Linked DNA regions of Lepisosteus oculatus. Each later gene encodes a partner of the first gene's protein in a complex. Links are inferred from orthologs where the notes say so. Each region holds a gene or a part of one and is shown on either strand. Other genes may lie near its edges.

Evidence for each region. Proteins that work in one complex are often made in the same cells at the same time.
Region 2: gapdh (region 1) and rpl13a share a complex: the UniProt entries of both Homo sapiens proteins name them as parts of the GAIT complex. The link is inferred for Lepisosteus oculatus from reciprocal best matches to the Homo sapiens genes GAPDH and RPL13A.

Annotation. Positions count from the first base shown.
Region 1 is NC_090718.1:3,652,557-3,659,698, forward strand, and holds the start of gapdh (glyceraldehyde-3-phosphate dehydrogenase), read left to right. Parts: upstream 1-3,997; 5' UTR 3,998-4,098; intron 4,099-4,860; 5' UTR 4,861-4,883; coding exon 4,884-4,906; intron 4,907-7,142. UniProt on the Homo sapiens protein: Has both glyceraldehyde-3-phosphate dehydrogenase and nitrosylase activities, thereby playing a role in glycolysis and nuclear functions, respectively.
Region 2 is NC_090706.1:7,938,272-7,946,361, reverse strand, and holds the start of rpl13a (large ribosomal subunit protein uL13), read right to left. Parts: upstream 3,108-8,090; 5' UTR 3,032-3,107; coding exon 3,011-3,031; intron 1,935-3,010; coding exon 1,862-1,934; intron 1,521-1,861; exon of another isoform or gene 1,438-1,520; intron 1,373-1,437; coding exon 1,307-1,372; intron 918-1,306; coding exon 816-917; intron 705-815; exon of another isoform or gene 635-704; intron 328-634; coding exon 242-327; intron 197-241; exon of another isoform or gene 119-196; intron 36-118; coding exon 1-35. Other genes in the region: atp5if1b (ATPase inhibitor B, mitochondrial), read right to left, coding at 5,265-5,406, 6,028-6,140, 7,714-7,788. UniProt on the Homo sapiens protein: Associated with ribosomes but is not required for canonical ribosome function and has extra-ribosomal functions.

The DNA of each region.
Region 1 (7,142 bases):
GTTGACATGTTTCATGAAAGACTAGTTTCAGTTTTGGCCCACAGTGCCTCGCTATGGCATGGCATCCTACTGTCACTGTAGTATTGTTTCCTTTACCTGTCTGTAATAAAACTACACGCTGCTTATGTAACCGAGAGTAGCTTTTGCTGGATGGGGGGAGGGTGTATTTACTGGAGGAGAAATTCACCAAGCCATGAGCCTGATGTGAAGGGAAACTCTCCACCACCCGCGGTGATTCCTTGATCCCGGCCGGCTGGAGGAGTTCGACACCCCCCCGAGGAGAGAGGCTGGAGAGACCCGGGCCCCAGGTCCCATCTCCGTCGGGTCCTGCCCTCGTCGTGTGCCGCTTGTTCATCGTCAACAAACCAACACCGTGTCCGGAGATGCTGTCAAAATAAAAGATTTGTGTGGGTTTTCGGAGTCTGGGCTGCATTATTACTGTCGGAGCTCCGTCGTGGGACAGCTCCTTGATCAGATCCGAAGATGCGACGTTGCAGTTTCTCGCGAAGCCACTGGGTGTCAGCATTGCGACGCGTATTAACAAAAAGGCGCCGCTTCCCCATGAGAAACGTTTCACCTGTTGGCAGTTCAGCTCGGAGACAGGGGACGCACTTTCTTTAAAAGGGGGAACAAGGCGGGGCTGTTTCTTGTAAGTTTAGTTCCTACAGTGGATCGAGGTAAACTTGAATTCACAATAAACCTCTTACACTAAGTACACACTCTTAACAAGTCAAGATTCTATAGTGATACCGACGTTCATAAAAAAAGGGTGATTGTCCTTTATCGATCAGGGTAAGTGCTTGCTGGGGCTGGATTTGCACAGCGCAAGAGCCCCTCCAAGTCCGACCACTTGCTGTTGTCCATGCCTTTCACCTGTCCCGGCTCCGAAACGACGGTCGTCCCGTCCTCCGCAGAAGCGCTGACCAGCTGGAAACCAGCTGTGGGTCGAGCGAGATGTCTTTTAGATGGCTCGGTCAGTAATGAACAGGTTCTGACCGGGATGCAAGCAACCCCCTTTTCATACCGCAGCGTGTGGCATTCACCGAAGGAGGACTCTGGGAGTGGATGGAGAGGGGAAGCCGGGGGTCGGGTTTTCAAGCGAGGGCCAAATATGTCTCTGTCGGCCCGGTCTAGCCGGCGCCAGGATTTCCGATTCCCTCCGTCCAGGCCGCCCACAGCAGTTCCCTGCCCGGCCACTGAGGTCAGATCCCCCTGCGGTCCGGTGTCTACCGGGGCTGAGCGGGGTTTCGGACCCGAGCGGCTCTCCCAATTTTTTATTTGTCCCCTTTTTTGCCTCCTTTCCTCGGGAGCTTGGCACTGGACCCAGTCGCCGGTAGGCTCGTCGTGCTGAGTGCTGGCGGAGCGCCTGGCTGGTCGGACCCGGTGCCAAACTACCTATTTTCCCTGCTGCCCGGCTGGGGGGGGGGGGAGGGTATCTTGGCTCACCCGGCCAGTCATTAACGACACCCCCAAGAAGGTTCCACAGCCGAAACGTGGTTTCCTTTCTTCTCTTTAGGCACTGCAGATCAGGCACTGCAGATACAGTACAGTGTAGATTAGACTCTGTAGATACAGTACAGTGTGGACCTGCTCTGTAGATACAGTACAGTATAGATTAGACTGTGTAGATACAGTACAGTGTAGATCTGCTCTGTAGATACAGTACAGTGTAGACCTGCTCTGTAGATACAGTACAGTGTAGATCAGGCTCTGTAGATACAGTACAGTGTAGATTAGACTCTGTAGATACAGTACAGTGTGGACCTGCTCTGTAGATACAGTACAGTGTAGATTAGACTCTGTAGATACAGTACAGTGTAGATCTGCTCTGTAGATACAGTACAGTGTAGACCTGCTCTGTAGATACAGTACAGTGTAGATCAGGCTCTGTAGATACAGTACAGTGTAGATTAGACTCTGTAGATACAGTACAGTGTGGACCTGCTCTGTAGATACAGTACAGTGTAGATTAGACTCTGTAGATACAGTACAGTGTAGACCTCCTCTGTAGATACAGTACAGTGTAGATCTGCTCTGTAGATACAGTACAGTGTAGATCAGTCTCTGTAGATACAGTACAGTGAAGACCAGGCTCTGTAAATACGGTACAATGTAAATCTGGTATATAATGTAGTATATCTGTTCTGCCCTATAATGTAGTATAGTACATTATAGGGCAGAACAGCACACCATAGACAGCTACATTGATAAATTGCAGTATCAATCTGGCACTATATATAATACAGTACAGTTTGTACCTTACTCGGGGAAATACAGTACAGTGTAGTGCAAGCATATCCATGGTGACTTAAAGGCAATTTCAGACACTGCGACTGACTGCCTGGGCATTAGCACCACGGTGAAAGAGCGAGGTACAGAGAGTGGGGGCACGGAAAGGTCAGGGTCCTTCCAGCGAGCGCTGAGCTGACCTTTTCCTAGCTCCCAGACGGAAATCGATCCCCCCAGTCTCTCCGTCTCTGGAGAAGGTCAGATGCAGGCAACCGATCTCGCCAACCAGACTCCCGGCGCTCACGCCCCTGTCCGCCTGTCCTGGCGGCGGCGTGTGTGGCCTGAATGTCTTTGCGAGTGCGCCTCTGCCTCTGAGTTTTAGACCATGGCCCGTCTCTTTCACTCGCATGCAGTCGTAACCCGACGGCCGGGGTAGGAACGGCAGACGCGCGGATCCCCACGTAGCCCCAGTGCGGCCGATCCAGCGTGTGCTCGGTCGCCGTGGCAACGCAGCCACAGAGCCTCCTCGCAGCCAACGAGTGACGTCGGAGAGTCGGAGTGGCAGCGGAGGCCACCAATAAGACAAAGGGGGAGGGGCAGGGGGCGGGGAGGCCGTCTCCGGGATAGGTCGTGAGGCTAGAAACTTAATTACAAACCCGCTCATCGGCTGCCGTTTACACTGGCAAAACACTTCTTGCGATTCGCTCTCTTGTATACGTTAAAGTCATGCGCGTCTGCTGCTCTCCTGTCTATTAACCATTACTATTTTAAGTATTTCATAATTTATTGAAGTAGTTCAGGTGGGGAGCTGCGTCAGCATGAATAGGCTGCAGAGGAACAATGGAGTCATGCCCTGCTGAAAAGAGAAGAAAAGAAACACAACGTTCTCTTTTCATCATGGAATAAACCTATTACTTGTTCCATGAATAATTTATTGGTTACGAAACCACCCTATTCTTCTTCTGCTTTTATTCTAGTAGCTGTAGCAACAGCCTCTATTATCTTTCTCAAAGGCACCTTTACACATTTGGGAAGGGTCAATGCTTACACAGCACCCCAGAGATCAAATGTCACACCTGCGCTGTGGCCTAACCACCCCTGACCGCGGTAATATGACAGGCTGCTCATGATGAATTCGGAGCCTCCTGTCTCCTGCATCAAGGAGACCTTTGTACTGAAGACGAGGCGACGCCTCCGGCCTGCGCCAGCCAATAGGAACGCGTCCCCCTCGCCACACCCAGCGCGCCAGCATCACCCACGTCTTTCTAATATAGGTGCCATACACGGGTCTTTCAAACTCCTTCATTCCACGAAGGAGAACTCTGAAGTGCATATTATTAGCTCATCTCCAAACCACCCCACCCCACAAAAAAACAACGCGTTGCAGTATGCAGTATCGCGTTTGTTAACAGTACTTTTGAAATAATCTTTGCGCTTTGAGAAGCCACCTTTAAAGGCGCTATATAAAATAAAGTTTATTATTATTATAATCTCTCACTTCAATTCTGTATTGTGATATAGTGCACGGGGCCATCGCATTAGATCAAGAATAAATGCATGAGGTCACAAGCAATAAGAGCAAGGGAAACATACAAAAAAAAAAGCATCGGGACACTTCCCATGCAGCGCCGTGACGCACTATCCCCGCACGCTGCTCGCGTGTGTTCTGCAGGAGCCGTCATGGCGGCCGCGGACTCGGGTGACCTTGAGGTTCCGCCCGCGGAGCGCCGGCAGGAGGCAGGGCGGGGAGGGGGGGGGCGTGACCGTCGCCAGCTTACCGGTATAAAGTGCACCAGCCCGGCCACTGGCTCTTCACTCCACTGAAAGTCAGAGTTTCCGGAAGGGCAGAGGAGCTGTAACTCACAAACGGTAAGTATGTGGTTTCCTGAAGCTGGACTTTGTGTTGAGTGTCTAGGGATGTAATAGGGCTCAATATACCACTTTTTTGCGCCTTTGTATTTGGAGCTATCGGATAGACTATTTGCATCTGTCGTCTGTGCACCTAGCAGTCGTTTTGCTGTGAAGTGCCCAGTTCTGTGCGGAAAGGTCTTGTTTTCGGAGGCTGCAAGGCTGTATCGTCTTCTAATGACGCGCTCCTACTGCACAGTACCGCTGTTCTTCGCTTGATTGGGGTTCTCTGCTCCTCCGTCTTGCAACACCTCCGTTTCGCGTAAAGGAATACTTGTAGTGTGTGTGTGTGGGGGGGGTGGAGAGATGGCGACCTGCTTGCTTCATTGTCGCTTACCGTTTAGCGAGCGAGCACGGCTGCAGTCTCAAGTCTAGCATGGCGCCGTGTGTGAATCGTAAGCTCGCTGCGTTGTGAGTGCGCCGATGTTCTACGGAATACGGCTCCCCTCCGACATAGGTGCGAGTTTAATGTTCGCCAGTTCTCATTTCTACAGGATGCTTAGTGTGGGTGGGCGGTATCTGTTGAAGTGCCTAGGGACGGTTCTGGCTTCGGTACAACCTTGTACTTAAAGGAGAAACGGGAAAACTTTTGGAACTAGTTTCGTTTTTTTATTTTTGGCGGTTGGCTTATGACGTTTTAGACGCTACTGCGCCTGAGCTTGTTCCGTGTCATTCGGGGTGCATTTTTTCTTAATGTTTTTTTTTTTTGTTTCCTCCTTCTAGACGAGGACTTTAACCTGTTAACCATGGTGAAAATTGGAATCAACGGGTGAGTAAACCTTCATCAGGTCACTGATCCACTGTGTGGAAGGTGTAAGTGATCCAACTTTGTGTGTTGGATCTGGTGCACATGAGAGCCTAATTTCAAAGTCTAACGTCCTGAAAGGGCCTGCCATCTCATTCTTGTAATTCGGTTAACCTGGTTTCATTTAAGCATCTAACCAGTTTTGGAGGTAACTGGCTTTCATTCTTTCAAGATGTGCATTTAGCTTTGAATGCTTTAGGCTTCATGAGGAGGAGAGCTCTTGACTTGAAGTGGCTCTCCACCTTGGCCTTTAAGCAGTGCCTCCAAATTTGGGAGTGTTGTTCAACGGAGCTCAAAAGGTCAGGAGAGGAGCAGATAATGTCTCTTCTGCCCCAGTGGAACCTGTGGGCCTACATGACCTGCTTGGATTAAGGGGAAACTTGATTGCTCCACTATATAGTGTGGGTAGTAACTATCCCTCCAGATCCTGGTTTCACATGGCTCTCTTTGAGGTCCTTGTGCCTTACATTGACTGAAATGGCTACACCTCAGTCTGTTATGTACTGATCTGGAAGAGGCTGTGCTATTTGTACCGCTCTGGACATGAGTACACAACAGCAGGGGCTTAATCTGACTCTTATTGTAGGTGCTCATTTGCAACCTTGGGTTCACCAGCAACTCCCAATCGGGTGTCCAGCTGATGCATTTCCACCTGGGACTTTGAGTCTGAGGCCAGTGCTTTTGAGTCTGGTGCCCTAACCCACCGGGGGGAGGCCTGATCAGAGAGCTTTTAGCCTGTGAAGCTAAAAGCGGTTATCTCAAGACTCGAGGGTCTTAACCTGGCTTTGCACAAGACAGCTGGAGACCGGCTTTCAACATGGCTGAGTTTCTTGTTCCATCTTCCCCATAACCCATTGGGTGCAGTGCTCCCCCCTTGTTCTGCGGTTTTATTCTGGCAGGTTGCTTGGCTTGATTTCCTCGGCCCCTAGCTGGCTTTTGCAGTGTTGCCACTGGCCCAACTGGGTGGGGAGAAGAACGATCTGGAAGTCGGACCAAGCCCAGCAAGCTTGGAGTGTCAACTAGGTGGTTAATGATGCCAGTGTTCCTCCCTGGCATGACTTTAGATTAGCTGACTAAACTACGCTCCTACAAAGCCATCGGTGTTTGAGTTTCTGCTTCAGTTGCTTGATTTGCTGGGGGTGGATCCAAAGACCCATATTGCCACAATATTGTTACACCCAAACTACCAGCTGTCCTGCTGAGTCGCAAGTGCTACTGCACTGTCTGGCTTGCTCTCTGCTCCCCTTAGTCCAGAGAGACGGCGAGCTGCTATCTTGCTTGGATTCAAAAACTAAAACCACATGTAAAGATCAGGGGTTATAGTGAAACTTCAGTCCCTGATCTCCATGCCACTTTTGAATACTGGGGTGGGGGGACTGTAAGTTTAGATTGAGTGCCCCAGTCAAACATTAAGGCTGGTAGTCTGGAGGTTTGCCCTACACCTCCTTGCCCTGTTCGTCTACTGTACTCTTCAGTCTGTGCTCTGTAACCTGTACAGTTGGCCTCTTGGTCTGCTCTATTTTTAGTTTAGTTCTGTTAAGTGACACTAGTCGAGGCACAGCTGTCGCATTCTTCTCTGCCTATTTTAGGCGAATAACCTTTCTTGAAGGCTGGGGGTCATCCAGTGATCTTTAACTCCGACCTCTAGCCTTTTCCTGGGTGGAATGTGGTCCACAAATGAGATCCGTTCAGTAATGGCATTTTAGTTATAGGTCAGGCTCCCACTCTGTGACCTGGAGTGGTTCAGTCAGCTTTGCTGGTTGTGGAGGCGCTATACAACCCAAGCCTGCAGTTCCTAAGTGGGTTTCCCACTACAGGATGTGTTAGACCTCTGTACAGCAGGTGCTGGCTTGTCCTGATGATGCCCACCACTTGAACCCGAGATGCACTTCTGGAAGCTAGTGTTAAAATGGGAATTCAGCTGCATGAAAGGACACAATAGGGTTTATAATTTTAAAGGACCTTCTCCAATCAAGCCTGGTGACTTACAAGGGCTGCCCATTTCAGTTCTGGTGTGCTGTGGCTTTTTTCAGGCTTTCCTCTCCAGCTGAAGAAGGGAGCAGTGGGATGACTCCTCCCCTCCAGTTTGGAGGTAGCCAGCCAGTCAGGACTGGGGTGGGGCAGTGGGGAGATAATGGACCCACTTCTGACTTTAGACCCAGATAAAACCCTGTTTATCAATTACTTTTATGGAAGTGTG
Region 2 (8,090 bases), on another chromosome or scaffold:
ATCTTCAGAGCAGCTGGCACCACCATACGCTTCCTCTGCGGGACACATTGGGGAGGGAGAGAGGAGGGGTGTCAAGTTTCACCGAATAGAACCAAAGCCTTTTAAAGGACAAGAGTCAGTGTGTCTCAGATGTGTTTCATGTTCTCATTTAAGAATATTCAAACAATGTAGGTAGAATAGAAGCATCATCGACAGCGCACATCAGAGGATCAGGTGCATGAAGTGTGCAGGAGCCACTCACTTTGTCATAAGGGGGGGGGATTCCATCGAAGACCTTCAGTCTCTCCAATGCAGCCTGGCCTCTTTTTGTTTTGTGTGGAAGCATACCTGTTTACAAAGAAAGGCATAATTACTTCTAAAAAGTCACCATAATTCTTTTTTTTTTTTAATTGAGCACCCCCTTGCTCAGCATTTGGTGAAGCCATGTTTGGCCCTATGCAGTAAAATTATTAAAGGGCATCTATATAGAAGATGCAACTTATCTTAAGTATCAGGGCTACGTTCCTGGAAAAAGACTTCACAAAAGCCTTCCAGAAAATGGAAAAGCATCGCTTTGATTGCAAGAAAAGTGCTGGTTTAACTATTATGGATATACACTATTAAGTAACGTTTATATAGGTTTAAAGAATATCTGAACTCAGCAGTCAGATCCATATTTTTGTCATCAGACCAGGTCAGGTTCGGGATAAGACTCATCACAGTTCAGGAATCAGCAGTCGAGAGCAAGTCGCAATGCCACCCATTTAGGTCAACGCATGCTGTGGCTTCTGTAAGCTGCCGTAACATCGAAGGCTCCAGCCCTCAGAGCGCCTCACCTCGCACTGTCCTCCAGAAGATCCTGCTGGGGGCTCTGAAATGGTAGGGCCCACGGGATGGGTTGGTGTTCATCCTTTTGCGCAAGAAGGCAAGGTACTTCACTGTTCCAAGACAAAAGCTCAACATGAGCATGACCAAACTGTGACAGCACCATGCACTTACTGTGCTACCCAAGACAAAGACCAGCCTCTACCTCCTGCTTAGCCACACATGCATTATTACATTGACTTCAGTTACCCACGGACCTAAGTTCTCAGTTTAGTACAAAAAAAATGCAAAGCCTGCTAGGAATAATGAATAGGTAAATTCTTTACACCATGACCAGAAAATGCATGATTTGCTCAGCAATTCTGTTCTAAGATCTTAGGTCACCCACAAGAAAGGCCATTTCCAGTTCGCTTTGGTCGCCACTATCCTTTTAAACTGAGGGATCCCCCGCAGATATGCCGCAAACATGGACTTAAACTGAAGTGCAGAAGAGGTCACTTACATTTGTTCCGGTAGAAGTTCCCAGAGATATTGATGCCCTCACACCTCACGACAACCACTTTGTGGCCTGTAAAAGTAACAGGCGGTTAGGCACATCGAAGGACTGCTGGACGCTGCCATTAAAAACCATCTGCCGTCTCAGATGGTAGTGCATGTCAAGTTTTCTCATGGTAGTTAAACTCGAACAATGTAGGATAAGCATCATCATAGACAGTCAGGTATTTGTCAGTCCATTTTTTAGACAACTGAACTTCTTAAAATGACCTCTAAAACGTTTATTTTAATAAACTACTTCAACTGGTAGTACAATCTGTAACTGCTTTTAGCAATTACATATTGCAGCAGAGGTAGAAGTGAAAGATGGTGAAAAAGGTGGCTTATTTACAACCAGGTACAAGCTCATTATGACACCAACCCTGCAATCAGAGGGGAAAAAGGCAGTGGGCACACGTCCCAGATGGGACACTGCACAGGTCCTCTTTCTTGAACAAGGGATATCACTTGGGCTGCTTCAGACAAAACTGCCCAAATAAACGACAGAAAGAAAGATTCTTACCAAGCAGAACCTGTTTGGCCACAATGGCAGCCAGGCGACCAAGCAGATGGCCTCTGCCATCGAGTAGCAGAACCTGGAGGAAAAGAAAATTACGAGTTAGAGCCGACGAGCTACTGCTGACCACCAGGGCATTGGGAATGAGCGCACTGCACCTCAGCAACTGCTACGTCGAAAAGTATTTCGCCACTAATTTGGGGGCAAACATTTTAAACTAAACTGAACGCAACGTCCTAATTCATATTAATAAAGATGGTCAACATCATATATAAACTGAAAAGGCCATCATTAACTGCACTCGCCAAGTAACACGCGTTGGTAAGAGTTGTGCTGAGCACACTTCTACGGGATCCAGATTTGGTTGCAAATTTCAGAAACTTATCACGCGGGACAACGTTTGCCATGAAAATCAATTATTCACTTACGAAAATGCTTCACCGACACCCAAGACCACTACAAAACGTTATTTTGTTTCTCAACACAAATCACAAAGGATGAGGTAATCACAAAACAAAAACCGTGAAAGGAAGAAACGCTTAATAGCACTTTCAAAGTAATACGTGAGGGAAACAACGTGTGGCGCTTTAATAAAAATTAATCGTTAAGTACATTCGCGCTTTACGACGGATGAAAATATGCAGCCCGGTTTTAAAACGAGGTTCTTCACAAAAGAAAATATTTTTACATCAACCAGAGCTGCCTACAATTGTACAGAATACCGCACTACACAGAAATGGGTCCGCTTCATCACACTGTCCGCAAGCATGAATGGATTCAGGCCTACGAGACACGCAGACATGGCGACGGGAATTATCTCATTACAGGCTTGGAGAGAAACTCAACATAACAGGGAGAAGGAAACAGAGCAGCAGCACGGACATTTTTGGAACATTCTTCAACGTGTCAGCCTAATTCGCAAATTGAAAACCTGATAACGTGCCCCAGAGACAGGGAGTACTCCATGCCGGTCCAACACTCCTATCGCAAGGCAAAACAAAACCACAAAATTCAATTGATTCACTGCACCAAACTCCTCGGTATTGAACACACGAAACAGAGAGACTTCCACACAGGCACTGACCCTTCCTCGGTTCCAGAATACCCATCTTTACCCAACATTTTTTGCCTGTGCACAGCAGCCCCGTAACACACCTTATTGAAGCGGTCCGCCATGATGTGGGAAAAGAGAGAGAAACGGGGACGCCGCGAGTAAAAATCAGGGGCGAGGGAGGAGCTTCGTGCAGAGAGGAAGCGCTGTTCGTGAGCCGGACGACGAACGTGTGACGGAAGACGTCGTGACGTCCGGCAGTGGCTGCTGACGACAATAATAAATAAAGAGAGAGGTAAAGCTTAACCGCTAAGACCTCGTGGCGCAACGGTAGCGCGTCTGACTCCAGATCAGAAGGCTGCGTGTTCAAATCACGTCGGGGTCATTCGTTTTTTATTAAGATCTCTTTTTTTTTAACGTTGACATATATAACAAGTCACATATTCGATGTTTAACCCTTACGCTATTTACAACCCCGGTAAATAGTAATATTCTAAGTGTCCCGTGTCTCACCTTCAGCCCTAAATCTAAAGTCTAGGCTCTTAAAATCTAAGATTTTAAAAACGCGTGTATAAATATACAGTTTATCAGAGATGATAATCCCTGAAACGGGCAGTCCACAGCTTTGGATGCATTGTGCGTTACTCTAGTTCTTTTACATCAGTGTGACTGTCTTGCCTGACTTCCTAACGAAACGTGGAGATATTTATCCCTAAAGAACTTTACATGCCAACACAGTTTTGTCAAGACTTTGGTACTACAAAGCTTCGTAGTTTTTTATCGAATTTAAATGAATTAGCTGGATATAGTAAGGTACTCCCAAAAACCTTTACTACAGTCTGCACCCCTTTGGCTCCTGAAATGTGTTCTCACACCTCTTATCAAAATTGCTTTATCAAAAAGTTTTATCATACATAGAAATACTACTTCTATATTATAAGAACGTTTTAAAATTAACACTTTTCAACCTGTTTTGGAATAATATATTTTAATTTTGCAGTAAAATTGAGAATACATGAACAATTCTAAAACAATCTAGCATGTTTAACACCCCAGAAAGGACAGCTGGGGTGTTTCGTTCGCCCCAAGTTAGGAGCCACTGCTCCAAGGAGTACTAAAATCGCCTAGTTGATAAATTTGCTAGCTATGCTAGTGACAGCTAGTCAGACAGCAGATCACAGTAACAGACAGCATGTGGAGTCCAGGCAGGTGCCAGAATGAGAATTCCAAGACTGACTAGTAATTTAGTAAAACTCCTACATGATAATTCTGGTCCAAATCATTCCGCATATTCTTTTGAGACACCCCCTGTTTGTCATATGAAATTGATGATCGACTTGGATCAATAGCACTGACAGTTCTCCCAAACTCTGCATGTGTAAGGTCGAAAAGGAGAGCTCTTTCTGATTTCTGTAGAGTGGGGTTCTACAGAAGCCCATATTCTGTGGGTTTTCATTCCTCTACGGCTCTCTCTGACCCACATCTCCTCCTTCCTCAGTTACTCCTGCTTGAATTAGTTCCAGAAAAGATGAAGTGACAGTGGCTTCCCTGATCACAATAAATCGGTGTCCTGAAAGTGGTGCTTTAATAGTGACGTATTAGACCAGCTGGATGTGGTTCTTCATGGCTGAAAATCCCCCTGTCACAAGTGTGTAGTTCCTGGTTTCAGGTCCAATCCACAACATTTTCAGACAGCTGGAGGGAGACTACCTTAATACGAATGTTTATATACTGTACAAAGCAATACAGGCACGCAGCTGGCAAATATACTTAAATTGCATCCCCAAATAATTAAACTTCTATACTGACAAATGTAGGATGCTGATTGGTATTTTGGTTAAGGTTTCTTAAACAGAGATGCAGAACAACATCACTCCTTTCGTAATTCCTTTGTGTAACAACATGCATTACTCCATAGTATCACTTATACCAATAGAATCACAGGCATTTATTCGTTCTTATTCATAATGTTTAAGAAACATGCTTTCAGATGAAAAAATGAGGAGGTGAGAAATGATGAGGACTTTCTGCAGATGCAGCTCAGGCCCTGGAGTGTTTGTACAAAAGTTTATTTTGCTTGATGTTTTTAATGCAGGGTGTCATGATGTTGAATTAGTTATGATTGTCACATAGCCCCATTCAAATAAAGCATTATCAGTATTTTCCCTAACAGAGTAAAATCTAAGATACAGTGAGATTCTTTTACAATAAAAACAACACAGACAAAGGTTCCCTGTTGAAAATGATATGTGCATTTACTTGACATGGCATGTATAACAGAACATCAGCAAACTGCAGGACGGGCGGCACAGAGCCCGTGGGGTGGTGGGGGGGGCTCGCCTGGCAGATCCGCCCCACTCAGTCGTCGTGCTTGAGCTTCCTGATCTGGCCCTTGCGGCGGTCGATCTCTCGCTGCAGGCGCTCGATCTCCTTCTTGTGATGGTCAATCTCCTCTTCGTGGTGCTTCTTCAGGGCACTGAGGGCCTCGCGCTCCTTCTGCCTGAAGAGGGGGCAGAAGGAAAAAAAGAACAGGGTAAGAATGGGGATAAGTAAGCTAAAGACATCAACAACATCAACAAAAGTCAAGCACAAAATGGGAGCAAAATCAGAGCTCTGGTTTGTTATAAGGACCATTAGCCCCGATGACAACTTTCACACTTTCCCTGCTTCTGGTGTCCACTCAGTCCCCTGTATCGCCCCCTTGTGGTGGTCCCAGCCAATCAATCAATCAAGGTTTATTTAACAATGCACGAACAGTACAGCAAATATGGGCGTTGTCTGCAATGAAACGCTTTATCCGCGAGCTCGTTAAGAGGGATAGAAGAGGAGTAGGACAGAAGTTTCTAGGGATTAGGTTAGGATTGCAATACAATAAATTAAATAAATTACTACTTACAAAACAGTTACAGATTGCAGGAACGTAACACAAGGATAGGAGGTATTTAGCGCTGTTCATATGGACAGCGGGAGCACGCGGTCTCTGACCACCTGTGGGCACCTCTTCAAGACCCACCTGTGTAGACTCTGCCTTCAGACTGTGCGAGTCGCCATTTGAATTTCTGCACCGTGTGTCGTTTTGCTTTTAAGCTCCCGCTGACCATCGAGCGGGCAGAGCACCTACTTGAAGTATCGCTCCTCCTCGGCCGCTTCCCTCTTTCCAAACGCCCCGCCGGCCTCACGCACCGATCCCCCGCCGCCGCCTCCCTTTCCTGCCCCCTTGCCCAGCTCGCCCAGCTGCAACAAGAGGACCGCGCATTAAAACATGACATGAGTCCCGTGTACACAATGGCACGATTCACCTGGACAGCGGGCCATCCATTCATTCTCCAACCTCTTCTTAGAATCCGGGGTCGTAGAGGAGCTGGAACCAATCCCAGCAAGCAACAGGCACAAGGCAGGGCACACCCTGGACGGGACGCCAGTTCATCACAGGGCTCAGACACACACTAACTCCCACCAGGGCCAATTTTTCCCACAAAAGTTGCTGGTTAACCCATCAGTGCGTCTTTGTCTTGTGGGAGGAAACCCATGCAAATAGGCTGAGAACATAAAAACTTCACACACACAGCTCCCCAGGCTTGGTATTGAACCCAGGGTCCCAGCACTGGAAGCAGCATGTCTTGTGTAAGAGCTCTTATTTACTATATGCATTTGCTGCAATGGCAATAGAATAAAGATCTGAATACGACTACACAAACAGGCTCCTCAACACCCTGGAATCTACTTGCACCCGCCCCAATTCCAGAAACAGGGTTTAAATCCCCCCCCCCCCCAGTGCGTTGTGTATATTGTATTATGTATTTGCACTATGTGTATCCTGTCTACAATGTCTATGTCAGTGTCCTGTCTGTATTTGCACCGTGGACCTCTATACTGTATACTTGTTTATGGCTGGAATGACAAATAAACGTGAACTTGAACTTGAGAGGGCAAGACTTTACAGCTGTACTCATTCCCCCATGGCATGCTTCCATAATTCTTCAAACAAGTCATCTAACAATCACGTTTAATCTCCTGAATCTACCTACATTATTATTAAAAGCAGTTGTGCTTCCTTTCTCTGCAATCACGTATTCGTCCTTTGCATCTCTATGCGTAGAGGGCTGCTCTGTCTGCAGGTTTTCATTCCAATTTGACTCGTATCGACCTAAACCAGTTTGCAATTGGCTTAATTGGACTAGTTTTCTCAATTTCTTACTTCTCGGGTGATGCTGCTTTAAAGAGGCCTGAAAAACCTGCAGACAGACTCCATGACAGCAGTTGGATCACAGCAGCTCTCTAAAACAAAGAAAGTTTAAAAATCCCTTCGTCACTCCAAGGGCTGAGGGACCGTGAAGCACTTCACCAGTAATGCAGTTGCAGCCAAATACCCCGGCTTGTTTTATGAAATCTCTGGATCAAATCCTCAGATCAGACCGGCTGGATGAGCCAAATAGCCTTATCTTATTTGTTATATAAACTGTGGAACTTTATTGTTAAGCCAATAGAAAGTTCACTGTGCAATTTCAAATATAAATGAGTAAGTGACCCAACCCAGACCAGCTATTTAATAAAATAAACGTCTCTTTAAATGATTAAGAAAAACGAAGTTAATGTAAATCGTTGCAACGGCAATCATCGTAATACCCCTTTGTTACTTCTCTCGTAAATAAAGGTGAAATTAATCAAAGACAACAAAACAAGAACAGACTTTCAGGGCCGCGCATTCTTCATTGCGTATGACTTCTTCACTTTAACAGCAGAATAATGTGTAAACCTCACTTTCCCAGGCTTGGAAATTTTACATTTTCGTAAACACCCCCCTTACCTGGCTTGAATCCGATGACATCCTAATCTGAGCTGCGAGGAGACCCCTAAAGTTAGACCTCAAAAATCTAGCCATTTTCTATTCCCCTCGCTTTCAAACAGTCGCTGTCAAGTCAGGGTGTCCTTGTGTTTTATATGGAAAGCCTCGGGCCCACCAACACCTTTCACGGAGTGTGTTTTTGTGCGGTACCTTTAAGATACAAAGCTCGATCTCCCTCTGTGAATATCAATACAATAAAATCAGTATAAACATCTATGTCTCACTATCAATAACAACAAACTCTGGACATGTTGGACACGCCTCTGCAACACGTTAGAGATTGTAAACCGCAGTTAATACTCTACAACGCCGGGTAAAAAGTACAGTTGGCCCTTTCT